Linked DNA regions of Mus musculus. The protein of the gene in region 1 interacts with the protein of each later gene in a pairwise test. Links are inferred from orthologs where the notes say so. Each region holds a gene or a part of one and is shown in the gene's direction. Other genes may lie near its edges.

Evidence for each region.
Region 2: the proteins of Pias4 (region 1) and Smad7 interact in a two-hybrid assay, tested with the Homo sapiens proteins (2 studies listed by BioGRID and IntAct). The link is inferred for Mus musculus from reciprocal best matches to the Homo sapiens genes PIAS4 and SMAD7.

What each region holds. Positions count from the first base shown.
Region 1 is NC_000076.6:81,160,206-81,173,248, reverse strand, and holds the start of Pias4 (E3 SUMO-protein ligase PIAS4), read left to right. Parts: upstream 1-5,528; 5' UTR 5,529-5,537; coding exon 5,538-5,564; intron 5,565-9,058; coding exon 9,059-9,464; intron 9,465-13,043.
Region 2 is NC_000084.6:75,390,752-75,402,096, forward strand, and holds the end of Smad7 (mothers against decapentaplegic homolog 7), read left to right. Parts: intron 1-3,075; coding exon 3,076-3,614; 3' UTR 3,615-5,183; downstream 5,184-11,345. UniProt on the Homo sapiens protein: Antagonist of signaling by TGF-beta (transforming growth factor) type 1 receptor superfamily members; has been shown to inhibit TGF-beta (Transforming growth factor) and activin signaling by associating with their receptors thus preventing SMAD2 access.

The sequences.
Region 1 (13,043 bases):
GGCAGGACGACCCAACTGCACGGTGCTCGGATCTATCTTTCCTCTGTGTAGGGAAGAAATATATACGTTGAAATAAATCATATTTAAGATTTGGTTAGACAAGATGTAAGTTTAAATTCTGGTCCTGCTTTAATCTACTGAGTGGCCTTGGATAAGTTACTGGATGTCTCTGGGCATTAGAATGAATAACAAACTAGTTAACGAGGTACCTATAATAAAGAGGAGTGGGACTGGGGCTCAGTGGACAGTGGGCAAGCCTAGCATGCACCAAACCATCATCAACACCACAAACCAGACTTCCTAGCACTGGGGAGATGGAGGTGGGAGGATACCGAGTGCAGCGGGCAGCTGGGCTACATAAGACTCTGGCTAAAATCACAAGAAAAAAAAAAAACAAAACAAACAAAAACCAAGGCTTGAGTCATCGCTCAATTGGTTAAGTACTTGCCATGAAACCATGAAAATCTGTGTTCAATACCAGTTCCTGCATAAAAACCTTCAGCGTGCCCTTGGAGAATATGGAGTTCCACGAGGCTAAACTAGCCTGCCACTGATCCAAAGGGATTCTCTTGTCTCTTCCTCAATTAAGTAGAAAATAAAGATGAAGGACAACACCTGATGTCAACTTCTGACCCACACATACACACTGATTGCGGACAAAGTCGTATGTGCATGACAAAGGAAAACAAGCCATGAAGTAATACAAATAGGTGAAATGGGGCTGGTGAGATGGCTCAGTGGGTAAGAGCACCCGACTGCTCTTCCAAAGGTCCAAAGTTCAAATCCCAGCAACCACATGGTGGCTCACAACCATCCGCAACAAGATCTGACTCCCTCTTCTGGAGTGTCTGAAGACAGCTACAGTGTACTTACATATATTAATAAAATAAATCTTTAAAAAAAAAAAAAAAAACAAATAGGTGAAATGAAAGGGAATGTAGGCCTAGCTGGGGATGGGGAGATGGCTACCTGGGTAGGAGAGCTGATACAACACAAGATACTGGTTGGATTCCCAGCACCCACATAAGAAGTCTCACAAGGAACCCAACACCGTCTTCTGGACTCTGAGCCACTGCCCTCGTGTGAGCATATACACACAGTTAGAAATACTAAACGGAAACCTGCAATGACATCCCTTTAATCCCAGCACACGGCAGGCAGAGCCTGGTTTACAGAGCAAGTTTCAGGACTCCAGACACAAATCTTGTCTGGAAAAGAAGAAAAGGGCTGGAGAGATGGCTCAGTGGTTAAGAGCACTGACTGCTCTTCCAACGGTTCTGAGTTCAATTCCCAGTAACCACATGGTGGCTCACAACCATCTGTAATGGGATCCAATGCCCTCTTCTGGTGTGTGTCTGAAGACAGCCTGGACTTGTATAAAGAAAAATAAATAATTCTTTTTTAAAAAAGAGAAAAAAGACAATAAAGTGTGTGTGTGTATTTTTTAAAAAAAAGGATCTGAGCTGGTGAGATGGCTCAGTGGTTAAGAGCACTGACTGCTCTTCTGAAGATCCTGAGTTCAAATCCCAGCAACCACATGGTGGCTCATAACCATCCATAATGAGATCTGACGCCCTCTTCTGGTGCATTTGAAGACAACTACAGTGTACTTATTTATAATCATAAATAAATCTTTTTAAAAAGCATTATTAAAAAAAAAAAAAGGATCTAGCCGGGCAGTGGTGATGCACGCCTTTAATCCCAGCGCTTGGAAGGAAGAGGCAGGCAGATTTCTGGGTTCGAGGCCAGCCTGGTTTACAGAGTGAGTTCCAGGACAGCCAGGGCTACACAGAGAGACCCTGTCTTGAAAAACAAAACAAACAAACAAAAAGGGTCTCTTTCAAGCTTTCTTTTAAGGTCTCTAAAAGATGGTCTTCCTCCTCAAGGTCCAGTATTAGGTGGATTATTCCAGTTTAGGCCAAGGAGGAAAGAAAAGAAGAAGAATGTATCACATTAGATAGATTCTGATCATGTGACACCAGGTGCCTACAGAATTCTAAGAAATGAAGTCCATTCTGAAAGGCCACTTAAAACAGAAATTGGAAGACAGTTTTTTTTTTAAGATTTATTTATTTATTATATGTAAGTACATTGTAGCTGTCTTCAGACACTCCAGAAGAGTGCATCCAATCTCATTACGGATGGTTGTGAGCCACCATGTAGTTGCTGGGATTTGAACTCAGGACCTTCTGAAAAGCAGTCAGTGCTCTTACCTGCTGAGCCATCTCTCCAGCCCAAGACAGATCTTTTAAGAGAAGTGTTGCTGTCAAGCTATAATGATGGTAGTGAGCCAGAGAGTTGTTTTAGTAGGGAAATCATTTGCGGCACACACAAGGGATCTGAGTTCAAATTCTTAAACTATGCAAAAATTCAGGTATAGTAGCTCATCTGTCATTGTAGCAAAGGGGAGGTTGAGACCCCAGCATCCCTGAAGTGGCCACCAGTTTAGCACACCCGATGCATGGGAGGTTAAGTGAAAAAAAATCTGTCCAAAAACCAAAGTGGAAGCCAGGATTGTGGCCACAGCATTAGTCCCATGTGTCATGGAAGCAGAGGCAGGTGGATCTCTGAGTTTTAGGCCAGCCTGTTCCACAGAGTGAGTTCCAGGACAGCCAGAGCTACACAGAGAAACCCTATCTCAAAAAACCAAAACCTTTCAAAACAAACAACAACAACAAAAACAGAAGTATAGCTCAGAGGAGTCAGGGCATCCATGGCAGTTAGATGAGCCCACTCAGTGGTAAGAGCACTCTTGCACAAGACCCAGGATCAGTTTCCAACACCCACATGGTGATTTACAATCATCTGCAGCCAGTTCCAGAGAGGGTCTGAGCTCTGTAGGCACGATGCACAAATAAACATAGAGAAAAAACATACATACACATAAAATAAATAATTTTTTTTGTTTTTGTTTTTTGAGACAGGTTTTCTCTGTGTAGCCTTGGGTGTTCTAGAACTCACTCTGTAGACCAGGCTGACCTTGAACTCAGAAATCTGCCTGCCTCTGCCTCCCAAGTGCTGTGTGCCACCACTGGCTGGCTAAAATAAATAAATCTAAAAAAAAAAAAAAAAAAAAAATCGGCCGGGCGGTGGTGGCACACGCCATTAATCCCAGCACTTGGGAGGCAGAGGCAGGCAGATTTTTGAGTTTGAGGCCAGCCTGGTCCACAAAGTGAGCTCCAGGACAGCCAGGGCTACAGAGAAACCCTGTCTCGAAAAACCAAAAATAAATAAATAAATAAATAAATAAATAAATATCGAACAAGAGTACAAAAGGGGCGGGGGCTCGATTGGTGAAGTGCTTGCCTATCGTACAGAGAACCCTTCTTTAATCCTCAGCATCACAGAATAAGGTGTGGTGAGCCGTGCCTGTCACGCCAGCACTTGAGAAATAGAAGCTACAGTGGGGTTAGTTACAGAGGGGAATACCAGGTGAGCCTGAGCTTCATGAGACCGGTTCTCAAAAGAAAACACTTTTTACTCTACTTCTTGTGGGTACTAGGAAGCCACAGGGGGCTTGCGATAGAAGTCAAGCTTGGAAGAGCTCTCTCTCTCTCTTTTTAATTTAGTTAGAACAAGAGTAAGGATCGAGTGGCTTGCAGAGAATCGACCAGAATGCTAACACACACACACACACACACACACACACACACACACACACACACACACGAAAGACGACCCGGATGTGCACTGCACCGGGCCAACTAGGCTCACACCCCACCACACACACACACACACACACACACACACCACACACACACACACACACACACGAAAGACGACCCGGATGTGCACTGCACCGGGCCAACTAGGCTCACACCCCACCACACACACACACACACACACACACCACACACACACACACACCACACACACACACACACACACACACACACACACACACGAAAGACGACCCGGATGTGCACTGCACCGGGCCAACTGGGCTCACACCCCACCACACACACACACACACACACACACACACACACACCACACACACACACACACACACACCACACACACACACACACACACACACACACACACGCAAGACGACCCAGATGTGCACTGCACAGGGCCGACTAGGCTCACACCCCATCACTACAGGGCCATGCGAGCCCTACACCTGCCAGCTGCCGCTCGAAGGGAACAGGGACACCTGCCCGGCCGCATTCTGTTCATCCCCAACCCTTCTCTTCATCAAAATGCAACCGTAAACATGAGCCATAAAATGCACCAGAGCAGGAAGCACATACACCTTTAAGACCACCCTCCCCACGTGGGCGCGGTCCAGTCCTCCCAATGAAACGGAAGCAAGGGGCGGTGCCGTTCTCGCTTAAAAACCCAGAGCGGGGCTAGAAGTGAGCGTGGCCCCAGTGCAAGCTTCGAAAATTTGGGGGTTGGGTGGGGCTTGTGGGTAGTTAGAAAGCCAAGGAGGGCCCCTGAAATGGTGATCGCCCAGAAGTCTATTAGGAGTTCGATCCACAGAACTCATTTTGTGACACCTGGTTAAAGGAGAAAGCAATTCCAGCAAATTGTCCTCTGATGTCCACCTAGGGGGCTTGGAACGCGCGCACCCACACCTATTCGCGTTAGTCTCTAAACCTGATGACCTGAGTTCGATTCCCTGAATCCATATTGTGGAAATATACAAACCCCTTAGATTGTCTTTGGACGATCAAAAATTGCGTGTCTCCCCCAGTATATAAATAAAACAGACCACAGAAAAGTGGGCGTAGCCTTGAGCCAACAAATAAAGAAGGAAAAATGCAGCTAGAGGGGCTTCTGTGCCCTAAAGAAGCAAGGCTACGCAGGGCTTGGTTATGTTCATCTTTAATCTCAGTTCTCCGGAAGCAGGGGCAGGAGGATTTCAGTGAGTTTGAGGCCAGTCTGGTCTACAAAGCGAGTTCCACAGAGCCAGGGCTACATGGTGAACCTGTCTCAAAAAACAAAAACAATTTTTAAAAACCCACAACTGTTGCCACCGCAAGCCAATTTGAAAACGAGGCAGGGGGTTCGGCCTGTACTCTACAGAAAAGGTGGGGCCAGTAAGAGAGGGAGCAGGGCAAAGGGTATATGGTTCAGGCACTAGCTGGTTCATCCCTGCTACCTACACAGTGGAAGGAGAAAACCTAATTTCCTAGACTGTTTTGTGACTTTCACATATGTACACACTAAATAAACACAAAAATTTAGCGGTTCTCTAAAGCAAGAGAAATGAGGCGGCGGGAAGTGCTGCTATTTCTTTAAGCAGCAGACTCCTCCCCAGAGTGGGCGTGGTAGCGGCCAGCGCCTTGAAAAATAACCGTGGGGGGCGGGATTTGGCAATTGTCCGTTGTGATTGGTCAGATCCTCGGGCGGGGTTCCTGTAGGCGCGTGCGCGTGATGCATCCTCCCGCCTCTCAGACGCGGGGGCGTGGAGGAAGGAGCCAGCACTCGCTTTTACTGGCTCTCGCGCAGGCTCCGCCCTTTAGTCGAGGGCCCTCACGTGACGCGACGGCTGGGGCCTCCCGGCGCGGGGGACGCTAGTGGCCAAGATGGCGGCAGAGCTGGTGGAGGCCAAAGTGAGTGAGCGAGAGTGGCTCCGGCCGGGACAGGCGGGTGGCGGAGTACGGACCGCTCCTCGCAGGGAGCTGGGAGGGCGGGGTGTGGCGGCGCGGGCGGCGAGGGTGCGACTGGGACGCGGGCTGAACCTGCGGGCGGGGGGCGGGGAGACCGGGGGCGGGGTCGCCAGCTCCCTCCTGGGGTGTCCCCGCCGTCTACTGTCACTTCTCTACTGACCCTAGCAGGGGTTCCCACAGTGTGGCTACACAGCTTTCCCGGTGCAGGCACTGTCCTCTCCTTTGGGTTAGCTCTGTTGGGACATAACTGGGGGTCCTTCTGTGGTCTGGGAAGCCGAAGGAATGCAAAGTGACTTCGCCATCAGGTTTCCAAGGCAACGAGTAGGACTCAGGTCCGGGTGCCCCCCCTCTTTCCTCCCCCACAGGCCTGCATGGGGAAGGTCTACAGGGATTGCCACAAGTCCTCTGATTCTCGGGGCTCAGACTGACACCTTCTGACTCCAGACTCAGGCCAACTATAAGTGCCCAAGTTCATTTTAGAGACTCAGCCCTCGAGTCCCGCTCCCCACTTGTCAGCTCTGGGGTACCTCTTCACTTCAGCCTCCAGTGATCCTGTCTCACTCTAACCCATCTCTAACCTGTGAATCGCCTTGTAGAGTTTCTCTGCTGCCTGGCATACTGGACCCACCACCTCCTTGTTATGTGTTCCTCAGATTGATCCTCACAGGACACCTTGACTGAGTCCAGGGGAACATTGTTTAGACTTGTTCCCCCATTTCTGCATTAAGGTACCAGGGCTCTGACCTGACTTGAGTCCCCATTAAACCCTCTTGAAGTACAGCTTGGCTTAGCCTACATCCAGTTCTGCTCTGTCTCCCTGTCAAGGTTCCAGCACACTTGTCCCTCCAGAGTTATTGGAGTTCCTCAGTCCCCCTCAAGCATCTTCCCACCCATAAGATTCAGACTTGCCCCCCCCCCCCCCGTTTTTCTGCCTGCCTTGTGACATGGTCCTTCCCTCCCCACTGGGACCCTTAGGGTTATTCTAGAGGATCTGATTAAAAGGTGTCGTCCTCACCAGGCATGGTGGCACACCTTTAATCCCAGGGGTCTGGAGACAGAGGGAGGCAAATCTCTGTGAGTTTAAAGCCAACATGGTCTACAAAGTGAGTTCCTGGACAGCCAGGGCTCCACAGAGAAATCCTGTTTCAAAAAATCATTTAAAAAAAAAAGTGCAGCTGGGCGTGGTGGCGTACGCCTTTAATCCCAGTGCTCGGGAGGCAGAGGCAGGCGGATTTCTGAGTTTAAGGCCAGCCTGATCTACAGAGTGAGTTCCAGGACAGCCAGGGCTACACAGAGAAGCCCTGTCCTGAAAAACCAAAAAAAAAAAAAAAAAAAAAGTGTACCCCTCTTTCTCACCATTTACTCACCCCAAATCTACACCATTTACATAGTGGTTTTCTCTTGGGAAACAGAACTTTGAGATGGAGATATGTAAACTATGATCTGGAACGCAGGAGTTTTTTTTGTTTTTTATTTGGTTTTTTTGAGAAAGAGTTTCTCTGTGTAGCCCTGGCTGTCCTGGAACTCACTCTGTAGACCAGGCTGGCCTTGAATTCAGAAAATCGCCTGCCTCTGCCTCCCAAGTGCTAGGATTAAAGGTGTGGGCCACCACGCCCGGCTGGAACACAGTTTTACTCCTTGAAGTCCCCCTTGTACCATCCTAGAACATTGGGGTGAGGCCAAAGACTCTGTACCTTCATCCCCCCTCAGTGAGAAGGGCTGCGATTGCTTCTTTGCGGTCTAGATTCTTTAAATAAAAGCTGATGACCTCTACTTGACTCTCTGCCCCCTAGACCTCCACCTCCACCTTAGTTAGGTGAACTTGACTCTTCTTTGAAACTCTGAAATGGTCCAGAGGACTCCTGTCATGGCCCCTCACAGTGTTTTAAGAATGATAGCAATACCTCCACTTTTCTGGTAGCTTTCCTCCAATCTGTCCCAACAGGCCAGAGATTCTGTCTTTTGAGGCATCCTGGGGTTTCCAGGAAGCGAGATTGTGGTGTTTGTGGATGAATGGACCATGCTCCATCATCCTGTGGGTGAATGGTGCCTGCAGCAGGCTTGGGGCCAAGCCTTCGTCCTTTGCCCCTGTGTTGGGCATCTCAGCTTTCTAAAGAGCCTAGGCTAGTGTCACAGCTAAGTACAGCCACTTCTCTCTCTGTGTTTGGGTTGTCACTCCACATCACACCCCAAGCTGAATCTCCAGAAGTCATGGTGCTGATGCTGTTTATAAACTCGGCCCTGGTAGTCTGTGCCAGGGCGGGAAATACACTCCGGGTGATGGATGGAGGCTTCTTCCTGTGCGTCTGTCCCCATGCCCTGCTGTTCTCCAGCAGGCTGCTCAGGCCATAGCAGCTGCTGAGAAACCTGACCCAGACCATATGGCAGCGACCTGGCTGCTCAGACGCTTGCCATCAGTCCTGGGTGGTGGAACTCCGTGATTACCATTGGAGCTGCAAAGCTCTCTGACTTTAGCTGGACCTTCGAGGGCACCTACCTCACTGTGCCTCTCTCCTGAGTTGTGAGGATTTGAGTATAAATGTGCTGTGTGCTGTTTGTCTCTGCATGCGGTAGGAAGTGAAGGCCACATTGGGAGTGCCCAAGGGCCGCATACCCTAGAGTCCCTGAAGAGTTGGGGCTTCCCTACAATCCTCTAGAGATCTGGGAAGCCTGGTAGCCACCAGGCCAAACTTGAGCCCACCCTGTCATACTGGGAGTACTTAAGTCATGCTGAAGTATCTGGCACCCCAAGTCTCTGGTGTTTTTTGGAGCTTCCTCGTAGGGACTCAGCAGGTGAACATCCAGTGGGATGATGACCCCTGGGCTGGTCAGGTGGGCTTTGACACTTCGGGTATGTGTCCCAGCCCTGTGGAGGTCCCTTTCTACTTTTCATTCAGTGGAGGCCAGCATCAGGACTTAACACAAGAGGCCCCAGGCCCAACTGGCCTGTGTCTCACGGATGCTTGGTCCTTCCATCTGTGGGGACGTGCCATGCCCAGGTATCAGCTGTCATGAGTGCAAGCAGCCTGCCTGAGGGCCTGGGTCGTGCTCTGGAGTCCCCTTGTGCTCTGGTTGGTTTCTTTTTGCTTGAAGTACCCCATAGGTTCATTCCTAGGCCTTCCCATCTGTGTCACTGTGTCATTAGCTTGGTCACTGCTCTGTTTGGTTTCAGAGACTAGCTGTTCTCATGTGGGCCCATTCTGTTCCTGGGTACCCTGGTGGTTGACTGAAAACCAAGGGCAGGGTCCAGGATGCCTTACTGGAAGACCTGTCTCAGACCATAGTGCCCAGGGGCCTGAGACTAGCAGGCCATACCTAGTCTGGGACAGCACTCATAGGAAGCAGGATTTTGGTGGCTGCCACAGGGAGCTGAGGGTAAGGGGACACACAGATTAGAGGATCACACCCCTGAGAGCCGCTGTGGTTCCCCTTTGCAGAACATGGTGATGAGCTTCCGAGTATCAGACCTGCAGATGCTGCTGGGCTTTGTAGGCCGGAGCAAGAGTGGGCTGAAGCACGAACTGGTGACCAGGGCCTTGCAGCTGGTGCAGTTCGACTGTAGCCCAGAGCTTTTCAAGAAGATCAAAGAGCTGTATGAGACTCGCTATGCCAAGAAGAGTGCAGAGCCCGGCCCACAGGCACCACGGCCCCTGGATCCCCTGGCACTACACTCCATGCCCAGGACTCCCCTGTCAGGGCCCACCGTGGACTACCCCGTGCTGTACGGGAAGTACTTGAATGGACTGGGGCGCCTGCCCACCAAGACCCTTAAGCCGGAGGTACGCCTGGTTAAGCTCCCCTTCTTCAACATGCTGGACGAATTGCTGAAGCCCACTGAACTGGGTGAGTGGTGGGTATCGCCCAGCAGATCCCCAAAGCAGGCTCAGCACTGTGCCCCATGACCAGCCACCCCAAACCTAACAGCTTCAAACACGTGACACGGGTGGCAGGGCAGCACATACTGGCCTTTTCATCACTTAGTGGCTAAGGCAGGAGGAAGGTGAGTTTTGGGTTAGACTGGGCTACAGACTAAGACTCTGCTGAGGGTATGGCTGAGGGTATAGGTTGAACAGTGAGCTGAGCATTCACTAGCATGCTTGACCTCTCATCCCCCACTTAGTCAGCTGAGGCAAGAGGAGCCATGATTTTGAGTCTAGCCTGGGCAAATAGATCCTGAATTTTTTTGTTTTTGTTTTTGTTTTTGTTTTTGTTTTTCCCTTGTTTTTTTTCAAGACAGGCTTTCTCTGTGTAGCCCTGGCTGTCCTGGAACTCACTCTGTAGACCAGGCTGCCTTCAAACTCAGAAATCCGCCTGCCTCTGCCTCCCAAGTGCTAGGATTAAAGGCGTGCACCACGACTGCCCAGCCAGACCCTAAATTTTTTTTTTTTTTTTCAGAGCTGAGGACCGAACCCAGGGCCTTACACTTGCTAGGCAAGCACTCTACCACTGAGCTAAATCCCCAACCCCCAGACCCTGATTTTTAAAAGAAAAAAAAAAAAGCTAGGCCTAGTGGCTCATTTCGGTTATTTGGAAGGGAGTTCAAGGCTTTCCTCAGTTATACAATGAGTTTGAGGCCAACCTGAGCTAAAAAAAAAAAAAAAAGAAAGAAAGAAAAATAGATGTAAGTTCCAAGTTATCAGGAAGTGTAGACTGGTCAGACCCCCATCTTCTCTGTTGAGGCACAGATAGCCTCCAAGCCCTCTGCAGCACCTGACCTTCCACGTGCAGTGTGGAGTGGGGTTGTGGCCACAGATGCTGCCCTGAGCTGTGCACCTGGCAGGTCCTAATGGGCCACATCTAGGACCTGGGACTCTCTCAGGTTCTCCAGACACCCTGGTCCCCTATTCTCCCTCCTGTCTGTCTCTGTGTAAAGCCTAAAGGTTGGGCCCCAGTACTCGAGGCAGGCTGCGAGATGAGCAGTTCCTCTGTCAACCCCACATGGTACTCAGGGGCCTCCCCACTTCCATTCCAACTTGACTATCTTCCCTGGGTAGCACTCTACTACTGTAGCAAGGCTATGTCCCTCTTATCCTGGGACTTGGGGCACTATGTTTAAATTGGGGCTGCTGGGGGTGCCTGAGGAAGGGTAGCAGGCAGCAGTGGTTGTGCCCTATGGTGTGGACTTTTTCCTGTGATCAGAGGCCCCGCCCCTTACTGAGGCTCCACCCCTGACCTATAGTCCCACCCCTTTTGAAAACCCTTGGTGCTGATGGGGGTTGGAGGCAGAGCCCCCTAACCTGCCTACTCTGCCCTTCCTGTCATGCTCCGAGTGCCACAAGCTGCCTCCCTGAAGGTCTCCACAGCCCTTGGGAGCCTTGGGGTCAAGTTGACTGGGTGTCATCTTGAGGAAGACATCAGGAGGTTGGCCCCCTGGCCTCCCAGCCTGCATGACAGGGCTTCCTTCCTGCAGAGCAAGCCAGCAGTCACTCCGCCCCACAATGCATCACTGTGCCCTTCTCCCCTGGGACCTCGGTCACCTGATCTCCAGGAGAGCATGCTCCCCTGTCTACCAGCAGCTTGAACAAAGAGGTCTAGCCTGTTGGTCTGCCTTCTCACCAGGGTACCCCCTTTCCTGGGTCCCCACACCTCGAGGGACTGCTGGATAAGAGTGCTGATCCTGGATCTAAGGCCATGATCTCTCAAGCTCAAAACCCAGAATTTCACATCCCCGGCATGAGCCCTGTGATGCCAGTTCACAGTGGCCAGCCTCTTTCCCAGGCCAGAATGAGCCCCATGATACTATAGGATTCTCTGGAAGAGCGTACCGCTTAGTCTGCACCAGGCAGACTGAACCCATAAATCACCTGAGCACCCGGAGGGGGAGGGGAAAAGGGAAGGGGACACCAGCTGCAGTCCAGAGTGTACTGACAGACCCTCTAAGAGGGCTAGTAACCAGAGAGAGCCAGGCACTCACCCAAGGACACACAGCCTCCTGAGCTCGTAGCCCTCCCAGGCTGACCTCCTTTCCCACCAGGCTGTGCCCTGTACCCATGTCTGTCTGGGATTCCATGTTGGTTTCTCCCTTACTTCCATGCAAGGCAGACCCAAGTAGGTAACAGTTGCTGACCACAGCAGAACTGACCTAGGACTCGAGATCTGAGGGCCCAGGCAGAAGTGAGGATGGTTTAGGAACCGGTGGAGAAGGAGATGTCGGCTGCCATGGAGCTGGTGACTCCTACCCGAGGGCTGTGTGTCCTTTGAGCAGCTGGAGGGCTTCCTGTGAGAGGAGGCTTCATTGGGGCTCCTGTGGGTCATGTAGATGGAATGAAGCTGTTGTGGGAGTAAGGAGTGATGGGGGGCCTGGACCTGAGGACAGGACCAGGGCTGGGCTGGGGGACCTGTGACCTTAGGGGCCATGGGATGTCAGCCTCTTTAGCCACTGCTACCTCCTTTTGCTGCCCATGTGTCTTACGTGTCTTAGCTCCCCGGCTGCTGGGGAAGCCTGCTATGTTACTTGTTTCGCTGATGCAGTTTTTGAGGCAGGCTCACAGTGTAGCCCAAGCTGGTCCGGAACTTGTGATCCTCTAGCTTCCGCTCCTACAGTGCTAGGATCAGAGGGCCACCCTGTGGCATTCTCAGAGGACACTGGGAAAGCCAGCCTGGCTCTGTTTGCAGGGCCTTTGCATAGGCTACACCTCAGCCTCCCACACTGACTCGTTATCCACCCCAGGCCTTTGGTCCCTGTTCGTCTTTAAGGGAACACCCCAATTACCCATATGATATCTGCACCATAGCTGGCTTCGACACTGCCTTTGTCTGTTGCTCTTTCTTTGGGGTGTTGTTTTTTGTGATATTTTGAGGCATTGTTTCAGGTAGCCCAGGCTGGCCTAACTTGTTCTATAACCTAAAATGATCTTTACCCCCAGGTCCTTTCTCTCCCTCCCCCTGCTGGGCTGGTAGGCAGGCACTCCATCTGCCATCCCCCTTGCTGTCTGTCTCATACCCAGACTGGGCTTGACTGGTTCAGGCCACGGATTTGGGGCAGCCCTTGCACTGGTCTTGCCTACCCCAGTGGCACAGGCTGTGGTCCTCTGCCCAGCTGCATCCCCACCTAGCTGTGAGTCCCACAGTGGAACTGAGTGCTGCTCTTCCTCTCAGTGTTCCCCATGCCGACCCCCCTCCCCCCGACTCAGGACCTTTGTGGTAGGCTAGAGTGGCTGTTTGGAACTGGACCTGGTAGTAGCTGGGTGGCACAAGCCCATCATGTCACTGCAATGGCTTGTCTGAAGCAGATTGGGCCCCCACTGTTTGCCTTGGCATTCCTAGTGCACCCAGCTAAGCCTGCATTAAACACCCATCACCTTAGCTAGGTGGCGGTGGCATGCTTTTAGTCGAGTACTCAAGAGGCAGAGGCAGGCAGATCTCTTGAGTTGGAGGCCAGCCTGGTCTACAGAGTGAGTTCCAGGACAGTCAGGACTACAG
Region 2 (11,345 bases), on another chromosome or scaffold:
GATGCAAGCGGTAAAGCCAGAGTTGGACTTCCTGTCCTCTTCCCGTCCCTTTTAAGGTGACCAAGACTTCGCTGGCCCTGCCCGTGTGTCCTGTGAAACTCTAGGAGAGAAATCCCTACCCTAACCTTTGTTGGAAGACTGTGGGCTGCGGGCCCAGCTTAGGTATTTGTTCCGCAGAAAAACGATGTTGGGTATTTCCCATAAGTGAGCCCAGCCATTTTTCAGTCCAAGGTGGGGCATTTGGGTGATGTCTCATAGTGCCCGGCTGCCCTGCGTTCTCAGAAGGTGTGGGACTTCTGCGTTGGGAATGCGTGCACTGAGGGGTTTGCTGGAGTGTTTTGGGCCTCAGAAATAGTCTGGTCAAGAAGCAAGGGGGCTTGTGAAGCTGACTTGTGTGGGGCTGGAGACAGGGAGGTGCAAGCAGGGGTCTTCCTGGAGCTCGTTGAGGGGACGACACCCACACACTACCATTTATCTGGGCTGGGCCATTAACCTCAACAGAAAAGGGCTTTTTCCTCGGGAGGTAGCCTGGCGGCAAATTGCTGGGTAGACTGGCTGTGTAGATGAAAGAGAAACCCAGGCAGGCGTCTTCCCCTCCATACTCTCTCCCCACGGGCCTCAGGCTCCAGCATTGCCCAGTTTGTTCTGTCCCAGAGGCTTGCCTGGCAGACAGGACCCTCACCCCTTGCTAAGGAGGCCAACAGGCCTGGCATGGGGAGCAACTTGATCCCAAACTCCTCCTCCCTCCTCCTTCCTCCTTCACATTCCCTTCCCCCTACCCTTGGTGTCTGGTGCCAGGTTTCAGTGGGGCTGGGCTGCATGAAACAGGCATTGTAAGGCCCCTCTTAAAGAGTCTCCCCAACCTCCCCCCTTCAGCTGCTCCCCAAGTCTTCCTTTCCCTGTCCGGGTTTCTTGACCCAAGTTCCACACACTTTGGGTGAGCACTCTTGTGTCCAGAAGTGTCTTTCTTACTTTCTTGGACTAACTAACTTTAGGGGTCGTTGGTGTGGCCTTCAGAGCTGAGCTCCCTCTCTGCAAGAAAGAAAGTTCAGAGCTTGCCAGCGCTCACGAGTTTATTAGCAGTTGATGGATACTTTGCAGAAACAAGTTAATGCCTGATGAGTCACCTTCTGCTCTGAGCCCTCGTCCCTCTCTTGTTTTTCGTCCTTTCTAGTATGTGCGGGCACAGACATTCCACCATCATAAACGCACACTCAGACACATGCGGTCTTATATGCTTGGGTTGTGGGTCCATGGCACTGGGGGCAGGGGACAGTGCAGGTCTGTGATGTTTTTTTTTTTTCCCCAGTGGCGTGGGGATTCAGGAAAGGAATCCAACACTATCTTGGCATCCTCTTTGTGTGTAGCTGGGCATGGGTCGGGGAGGCCAGCTAGAGGGGGTGTCTGTAAGTAGGGGACAGTCACTCAGGATTTGTGTGTATGTGGCTACCTTTGTGGAAAAAAAAGAAAAAGAAGCAAGCAAGCAAGCAAGCAAGCAACGATCTGACTGGTTCCCAGGTCCTAACATGCCTATAAAACTTGGACTGGATTGATGTACCAGGCTGCCCTGGGTTACCAGCAAGCTGAGTTTTCTCAGTCCTGCCCCTGCATGGGGACAGCCCTCTGAGCCCAGAAACAACAAAGGCCTCGAGGACTAGACACATTCCCGGTACAGCTCCATCTTCAGGGCCCACCAGACTTACTGGAGTGGGAGAGAGGCAGGAGGAGGCTTTCAATTTTGCCCTTGGTGCTCCCCCCCCCCATATACACTCCTTCCCCCTCTTGCCTTCCCCCATTTTTGTTAGCAAATACAAGACTTCCGCTCTCCACCCTGCCGCCACAAACCACAGCGTTCCTGCAGCCCAGCGGGGCTGGGAGATTTATAGGCCTCAGTCTGGGGCCTGTTCTCTCAAGTCTGCTGCCCACTCGAGGGGGAGGGGCTTTCTTAAACATGGCCTCCCCCCCCCCCCCCCCCCCCGCAAAGTTCACAGAACTCTTGTTTAGGAAAGTCACCTTACCAGTGTCACTTCCAGGTTGTTGTGGGGCGGGGGCAGGGGGTGGCTTACAGGAGGGGCGGGCAGACAGGTCGGTGAAAATGTCACAGAGGGCAGCATGGGCTGTGCAGGGTCAAACTGGAGGAGAAGGGGGCACGCCAGCGAGATAGACTGGCAGGAGTATACAAGGATGGTCACGTTTATTTTAGACGTGGCCTCTTCTGTCTGGGCTGGCCATGTGGTCTAGGCTGATGTCCCCCTGCATGTCGTAATTTGGCACTTGGCCTTGAACTAATAACCTTCTTTGTACAGGCTGCTGCTGTCATACAGAGAGAGAGAGAGAGAGAGAGAGAGAGAGAGAGAGAGAGAGAGAGAGAGCGCGTTTCTGTCGGGAAGATGGCTTTAAAAAAATAACATCCTCAGAGTCACCCTCATCTTTATTTTTACCGTCTGATGTTCCCTTGGGAGCAGGGCATCGATGTGGATGTGAGAATCGAACAAGCTGGTACAGAGGCCGCAGGTGGACCACCTGGCTTCTCATTCTGACTGGGTCACCACCCAGTAGGCCAGCATCTCTCATCCAGGTCTTGGGGGAGTAGAGAAACTGTCCCTCCAGGTTCCACACCCGTGGGAAGCAACTCTTAATTTAGGCTATTTCTGAGGCCTTATCCCGCTCGAAACAGCAGGACCAGGTTATCAACGGTCCCAGAGTCTGTGCTTCTGGGGACAAGTAGACACTGGGGCTGAGGCTGCAGGCTCAGATGAGACGAGAAGGGAAGATGACAGCAGTAAGCCTCGTAATTAAAGGTGGATTAAGATGTCTTCCCTCCATTAGCACTGTAGACCCTACAGCTAGCCCAGGCTTACCCTACAGCTAGCCCAGGCTTACCCTACAGCTAGCCCAGGCTTACCCTACAGCTAGCCCAGGCTTACCCTCACTCCCTCTTTTGTTTTTATACTGCTTATGGGGACACTCCACATGAATGCACCGTGTACAAATGTGTCTATGTATATTCGAGAAGGAGAAAAAGAACCCGGTCTCTGTCACCACCAACGGTTGTCTGCCATTTTTGTCTTGCAGATTCCCAACTTCTTCTGGAGCCTGGGGATCGGTCACACTGGTGCGTGGTGGCATACTGGGAGGAGAAGACTCGCGTGGGGAGGCTCTACTGTGTCCAAGAGCCCTCCCTGGATATCTTCTATGATCTACCTCAGGGGAATGGCTTTTGCCTCGGACAGCTCAATTCGGACAACAAGAGTCAGCTGGTACAGAAAGTGCGGAGCAAGATCGGCTGTGGCATCCAGCTGACGCGGGAAGTGGATGGCGTGTGGGTTTACAACCGCAGCAGTTACCCCATCTTCATCAAGTCCGCCACACTGGACAACCCGGACTCCAGGACGCTGTTGGTGCACAAAGTGTTCCCTGGTTTCTCCATCAAGGCTTTTGACTATGAGAAAGCCTACAGCCTGCAGCGGCCCAATGACCACGAGTTCATGCAGCAACCATGGACGGGTTTCACCGTGCAGATCAGCTTTGTGAAGGGCTGGGGCCAGTGCTACACCCGCCAGTTCATCAGCAGCTGCCCGTGCTGGCTGGAGGTCATCTTCAACAGCCGGTAGTCGGTCGTGTGGTGGGGAGAAGAGGACAGGGCGGATCGTGAGCCGAGCAGGCCACCGTTCAAACTACTTGCTGCTAACCTTTCCCGAGTGATTGCTTTTCATGCAAACTCTTTGGTTGGTGTTGTTATTGCCATTCATTGTTGGTTTTGTTTTGTTCTGTTCTGGTTTGTTTTTTTTTTTTTTTCCTCCTCCTTTCTCGTCATCCGTGTGTCCCGCTTGTCTTGTTCTTTGAGAAATTAGCTTATGGTGCGGATTTTTGTTGGGTTGTGTGTGTGTGTTTTGTTTTTGTTTTGAGGTGGTGGGTGTGGTTGGCAGGACACCCCCTCCCCCCATATACGAAGACAGGAAACGAGAGTCAGCACTGCCAAGCATGGTGTGTGAAAGTGGGCACCACCTTCCCTTTGGATCAGCGTTTCGGTTGTCCGTGCGTAGGGGTGTACCCGAGCGACAGATGGGGGAAGTGCTTTTTTGTGTGTGTGTTCTTTATGGATGCCCCCGGCTGAGAGGCTCATAGTGCCAAGCTGTGTGTCTCTCTAGCCTTTTGGACACGCTCGGTGGGGCAGAGGCAGTACCTGGGCAGACTGGCAGCAGGTGCCAAGCTCTGCTCCAGCCTGCCGAAGCTGCCCCGCCCCGCCCCGCCCCCGCCCCCACAGGACACGGGCCTATCCACAGGCTTCTGAGAAGCCAGCCTGCTAGAAGGCTGAACCAGAACCAATTGTTTTCATCCCTGTCTTACTGCCGCCTGTCACCCGCTGCCATTGTCGAGTCTGTCTTTTTTGGCCATCTGCTCCTGGATCTCTCTCTTGAGATGGGCTTCCCAAGGGCTGCCGGGACAGCCCCAGTCACAGTATTGCTACCCCAGTACCCTCTCAGGCCCTTCCACCGGGTCCCAGCCGTGGTGGTTTTTTCATCAGGTTTCTCCCAGATGTGGAAAGTCAGCTCAGCACCCCATCCCCCATCCTGTGTGCTGAGCTCTGTAGACCAGCGAGGGGCATCAGGGAGGGACCTGCGCAGTGCCCCCCCTTCCTGCTGAGAAGGGTGTAGCCCCGTCACAACAAAGGTACCATCCCTTGGCTGGCTCCCAGCCCTTCTCTCAGCTCATACGCTCGCTCGTATGATACTTTGACACTGTTCTTAGCTCAATGAGCATGTTTAGAATTTAACATAAGCTATTTTTCTAACTACAAAGGTTTAAATGAACAAGAGAAGCATTCTCATTGGAAATTTAGCATTGTAGTGCTTTGAGAGAGGAAAGGACTCCTTAAAAGAAAAAAAAAGCTGAGATTTATTAAAGAAAAATGTATTTTATGTTATATATAAATATATTATTACTTGTAAATATAAAGACGTTTTATAAGCATCATTATTTATGTATTGTGCAATGTGTATAAACGAGAAGAATAAAGAAAAGATGCACTTTGCTTTAATATAAATGCAAATAACATGCCAAATTAAAAAAAAAAAGATAAACACAAGATTGGTGTTTTTTTCTATGGGTGTTATCACCTAGCTGAATGTTTTTCTAAAGGAGTTTATGTTCCATTAAACAATTTTTAAAATGTATACTGCATCCCTTGTTGTTCAGAGCTTTGTCTTGGCTTGGAGGGAGGCTGGGAGGTCTATCAGTGGAGACAAAGGTGAATCGGCCCGGACTTTGGCTTAGTTCCCAGGTCTGGAGGACCCCCTCCCCTAGATACCCTTCTGTTAGGTGTGACCCAGGTCTTCTCATTGTATATTGGGAAGTGACTAGAGGGAGCCCTGTGGCTGACTTCAGGAGGAAAAGTATCCCTGGGAGACTGGGGTGGGGGGAGGATTGGGTCAGGGACAGAAGAGCAGGGACATCCTCAAGAACCAGGATCCATTGGCCCTTGCTCCTTCCACACCGTCCTGATTCATCCTCCTCAGGGGAGGGGACTGTGGCACCCGGGAAATGGAGGCTTCCACCTCCTCACCCCTCCAGTGATGACGGAGGGAGTTCAGGCTTCATTCTTCCGTCGCTGGGATGTTCATGACTGACGGCTTCACCAGTCCCGTGGTTCTGTTCACCCTGGGGCTCTGTGAGGTCCCTCTTAAGTTCTCTGCCTGCACGAGCTGAGCTGGGACTTCCCATTCATGTTTTAGATTGATGCTCATTATACACATATCAATAATACTACATGTGTACCTGATGCCTGGGGATGTCAGATCCCCTGGAACTTGAGTTACAGATAGCTGCCATGTGGGTGGGAGCTGACAGTCCAACCCAGAACCCTCTGTAAGAGCAACGAGTGCTCTCTCCAACCTTTGATACTAAAGGCACATCACTGGGTGCCAGGAGTGATGTTAATCTTTCTTAGGATCCCCACCCCCCACCCCGCGCGCAAGAATGGAGGCCTTTGGAGGCTAAGGAAGTCAACTGGCAACTATGACCTGAGCTGTAATCCTGTGTGGCCGGTGTCCCATAACTCACTTCCTTGCCCCTGCTGTGGGAGCAGAGCCTCTGGATTTGGAAGGCACAGAGTTCTAGAAGGAGGCCAGATTTGGGTATGGAGTGTGAGTTCTGGTGGGGTGGCTGTCAGACCACTCTGAAGTCTGGCATCTTCAGATCATCTGGCGTTAGGTGGAAGTTGATAACTCTGCTGCAGAAGACACCATCCACTGCCTGTGCCCAGGGCTGTTCTGTAGACATCTCTTCCAGCCTCCCTTGGAGGTTCGGTCTGCCTCTGAAGAGGAAAGGGGATAGTTGGGGGTGGGGGTGGGGGCAGAGTTGTGTTAGGTTTAATGTAGCCTGAAAAAAAAAATCACTTGGTTAGGCTCTGACCTTTTTATTCTTATTTTTTAGTATAGAGTAGATTTTATTTAGGGCATGGGGGGGGGGGGGCGGAGTTAAGAAGGTAGTAGAGGCAGAGAGAAGGAGAGTAGATAAATGGAGGCGGCCATGATCACGTGGAAAGAAGGGGAAAGGTAATGGGAAGGCGGGGCACAAGGGAGCGAGAAGCAAGAGTGTAAGCCGTTCTGACCTTTTTAGTGTCCTGATAATTCTCTTGAGGACTGCCCAAACAGTCTCGATAATGGACCTCCCTGTGGGTACACGAGCCGTCACCCCCTGTTGCTGGTCAGGCAATTTCTTGAGGTTCCTCCACAGGAAGTTTTAGGTCTGATTTGATCACTTAGCTGTGTAATCACTGGGTAGGGCAGGGTTAAGGTGAGCAAGGCAGGTGCCTGTGTTTTCTTAAGTAAATTCTAGTTTGAAAGGTCAGAAGCCTTTTGACCTCTAAACCCAGTTCCCAGGATTTGCAATGTTTGTTTACACCAAGGACTCTCCCAAGATCATGCTATCCTGCAGAGGATGCTGGCGGATCTTCCTGAAACAGTCTATTCTTCAGAGGGTAAATGATTAGCCCCAGAAGACCCAACCCTACACAGCTTGTAGCTGAGGCAGACATGCACCCAGAGACACAGCCCAGAGTGACAGGGACCTCTTTGTTGGTTTGTATTCCCAACAGTTCAAAGAAAGCGGACTCAAGTCCACTGCTATTCCAGATGTGTCAATGGCAAGCAGGGTGCCTAGAATATGGCAAACAATAAATGGCTCACAGTTACTGGCTAGGGAATTGGGCACAGTTGGGTTGGAGTGCTCACTTTGGTGAGTCACCCAACACTTTTGGCCCTCCATTTATGAAACACAAATAGGTATTCGACCTGCCCTGTGGGGCCAGAATGGGGATTATTGAGAAAATACACCCAGAGAGCTAGCTGAGCCATGTGGGATCGCTAATTTTGACCCTACAGATGCAACAATTTCATTCGGTTAAATCAATGAAATGATCAGTTTGAGGGAGTGGAGATTAGGAGTCTCCGACCTTCATCATTCTCTAGACATGTCTAGACATTCTCTAGACAGGGCTGACAGTGTCCTCGGGGTGGTATGCACAGCAAAGTGGGCTGGAGAGAAGATAGCGAATGGATTGTGGGGGATGGTCGACACCGGGGTGAGAGCCCTTCTGTTTAGGATGCCATCAAACTGTTGAACACAGGCCAGTCAGGAGGCAAGGCCACCAGAAGCCATGGCTCCAAAGCCAGGGTGGCCTGCCTTCGGGCAGTGTGGACACAGGCTTTTCAGGGAACAGCCTGCACGGTACAGTCCCGGTTTCCTGGCGCTGGAGCTGCAGGCCTCAAGCTGCCAACTCAGCACTTTTCCCTCAGCCAGAAGTAGCCCCCCTCTCTTTCTGAAAGTAATGATTTTCTAAAAATGGATTCCCTCCCCTCCCCCAGCTGCAATTAATCTACTGAACACAAAGTGGCCGCTGGAGGAGGCTCCTGGAGAGTTCGAACCAATGCACGCTCATTGATTAATTCAGGGATGATTTAGGGGTGGGGAGGGGTTGGGGGGTGCACACAGCCTCTGTGGGGACAGGCTGGGTCCACTTTGGAATCTCTGAGGTGACTGTTAGACCCACACAGACTCATTCAGGAGCCTCCTTCCAGCGAGGCCATAACCAGCCGCTCTGGGTATTTGAGAAGCTGGGCCCAGGCCCCAGGTTTGACATCCTTTCAATGAACCCCAGAAGATGAAGATAGACCTGGGGCTGACATTTTCAGAGAAGCTTTGGCGGAAGGGATACCAGACACATGGAGGACGCTTCCTCCTTTCTGAGGGTTACAGTAAATGGTGGCTTCAGACCTGCCAGTTTCTCTTCTTCTGTGGGCACTTTGGTTTCAAGTACGAGCAGAGAGAGCTCTGGCCCTGTTGAGCACAATGATTGAAATTGTCACCAGGTGTCCCAGCACCTCTCCTATCTTATCCTGCCAGAGTTTTCTTCACAGTGTCGTTGTACTGTGCGTATGATTGTCTCTATTTGTTGTTTTGGTTGCTGTTGTACTCCTGTGGCACAGGGTCAGCTCTGTGACTGTACAGCCTAGCTCCCTGGCATCTAGAATGATACCCAGCAACATAGTAGACACTGCAGGGGCTGCTTGGATGAATCTATGCTCAGTGACTGAGTTTCCGGGAGTGTGGGGGGATGCATTCATATTTCTACCAAATTTCCCTCCCAAACAGTGGGCATCTTCTTACTTTCAGATACCTCATGAAAACAAAGAGGTGGTTCTTGTTATTTTCTTCCCAAAAAGTGAATGAGAACCTGTCCCTCTTAGGGTGGTAATAACAACCACAAACACCAGAGTAGTCACAATTAGAACAGCCTAGGGGCTGGCAAGATGGCCCAGCCGGTGAAAGTGCTTGGATTCCTAAGACTGTGGGACTTTTTAAAGTAAGTCTGTAAAATGTTTTATGCTGTGATGTTTATATTAACGTGTGATCTTGGGGTATGAACAAGAAAGGGAAGGTTGTGGCTTTACATTGATGTGTTTGTGTGTCCATCAGTGGCACTGAATAGTTTTATGCTAACTTGATATAAGCTTTAGTCATTTGAGAGGACAGAACCTCGATTAAGATAATGCCTCCATAAAATTCAGCTGTAGGCAGACCTATAGGGCATTTTCTTAATTAGTGAATGATGGGGGAGGGTGCCACTGAGGGCTGGTGACCCTGGGTTCTATAAAAAAGCAAGCCGAGCTGGGCAGTGGCGGCACACACCTTTAATCCCAGCACTTGGGAGGCAGAGGCAGGTGGATTTCTGAGTTCGAGGCCAGCCTGGTCTACAGAGTGAGTTCCAGGACAGCCAAGGCTACACAGAGAAACCCTGTCTCGAAACAAAGCAAAACAACAAAACAAAACAAAACAAAACGCAGGCTGAGCAAGCCATGAGGACAAGCTAGTAAAGCCAGCAGAGAACAGCCCTCCATGGCCTCCGCATCAGCTCCTGTCTTCAGGTTCCTGCGCTATTTGAGTTCTGGCCCGACTCCCTTCAATGATAAACAGTGATATGGAAGTGTAAGACCCAAGTTGCCTTGGTCCTGGTGTTTCACTGTAGCAATAGTACCCCTACCTAGGACACCACCCAAACCTCATGCTCTGAACTTGATCCTAGAACCCATGCCGAGATAGATTGAGAGACTCGTCTTTAGAGAGCTATCCTCTTCTCTCCAACACCCGTATATTCGCATCACGGACACACGTACAGTAGTTATAAAAAGTACAACAAAGCAAGCCCACTGTGTGTGGGAGAGATTCTCACAAGTTGTGTTGTGTGGTCCTGAAGGGAATGCTGTCACTTTAGCCCATTTTACAGATGAGGATGTGGAGGCTCATGAGTGACCCCCTAGGGAGAGAATGGAAGTCTGTGGCATTCCAAGCCTTGCTGTGGGTCTTAACAGGAGGCTGGAGATGCCAGTGGCTACGGGAAGGGAGAAGCTCTGCAGGGAGGGCTGTTCCAGGGCTAGACTGTCCTGTCTCGTCCGAGCAGGGGCTGTAATCTTTGCTTCACACGGGGCGTCGCGTCATCAGCACCAAGTCTAATGACATACTGCAGCCAGGGAAATTACAGTGCCCAGGAGGTTTGTCCCAGAGGCCCTGCCCAGGGTAATTCCAGAGCAGGGATGGATGCTGGGAAGTAATGAGGACCGGGCGGGCTGCTGGCCTCAGGTGATGGAAGGGTATGTGAGGGAAATGGAGGATTTTACTTTTCATTGAAAATAGTGAAGAACAAGCCAGGTGTGCTCTCGACTGTCTCTGATTTGGGAGAAGCTAGAGTCCAAGACAGCCAGGGCTATAGAACAAGGCTCTGTCTTAAAGAACAAAGCAGCAATACCCAAAAGGTGTAAAATGAAAAATGAAAAGTCAAAGTGACCCAGAGTCTCACAACTTAAGCCATCTCTGCAGCACTGCTCTTCAGAGGGGACTGGACAGGAGAACTTTGAGCGCCGCCTTTCTGAATTTGGCCCATGCTCATGAATCTGTACAGCTTTTTACAAGTGGAGTTGTATTGGCCTGCAACCTGCTTTCCTCCTCTAACGACACATCTCGGACATTTTTTTTTTTGTAGGTCATTCATTTTCATAGTTACCTAGTACTGGAGCTGAAGTGTAAGAGGCCAGCACGCACTTCAAAGATAGTGTCGCTTAGAATTGTATAAGAGTTGCCAGTGTGAACCTGGCACTCTCTCCTGATGGTGGTGGGCATGGACCTGGCCTAACCGCTTTTGGAAAACATTTGGCAGGCAGGCTCTGCCAAAGCTAAAATAACACTGGCATCTGAAGTGTATTTCCATATTTTTCGAAAGACATGTAGAAGTATCTTCATAGCAACGCTATTCCAAGGAGCCCCAACCTTGGAGCGACTTAAAATGCCCATCAAAAAAAAAAAAAAAAAGTGCAACAGTTGTGTTGCGTACGATGCTCACTGGGAATGAGAGAGTGAGGGACCCGTGACCACTGTGCTCACCTAACGGGTGATGCGGAGAAGGTGTCTGACTTCCAGAAGGAGGGAACCTCGATGATAATCACCAGAGTAATTCTAACAATCTCCATGCTGTGTTAAAGCCACCACACGCCAGCTGGGGATAGCAGTCAGCTGCAGAAGGCTTGCCTAGTGTGCTCAATGCCCTAGGTTTCCTGCGCAGTAAAGCAGAAAACAAGAAACAAAACACCAAAACAACCCCATCGCATGGGACAGTCTCATTTACATAAAGCTCAAAACCAGGTGAAACTAATTTTTGCTGTTAAGACGGCAGGCAGGGGGCATGGGGATGGGGTGGGAGGGGGGGCGGAGCTTCGGCTCCTCGGATTCTGTTTCTCTGTCTGGGGTTGGTTACATGTGGCGCAGTTTGTAAAAATGATTTGTAGTACAGT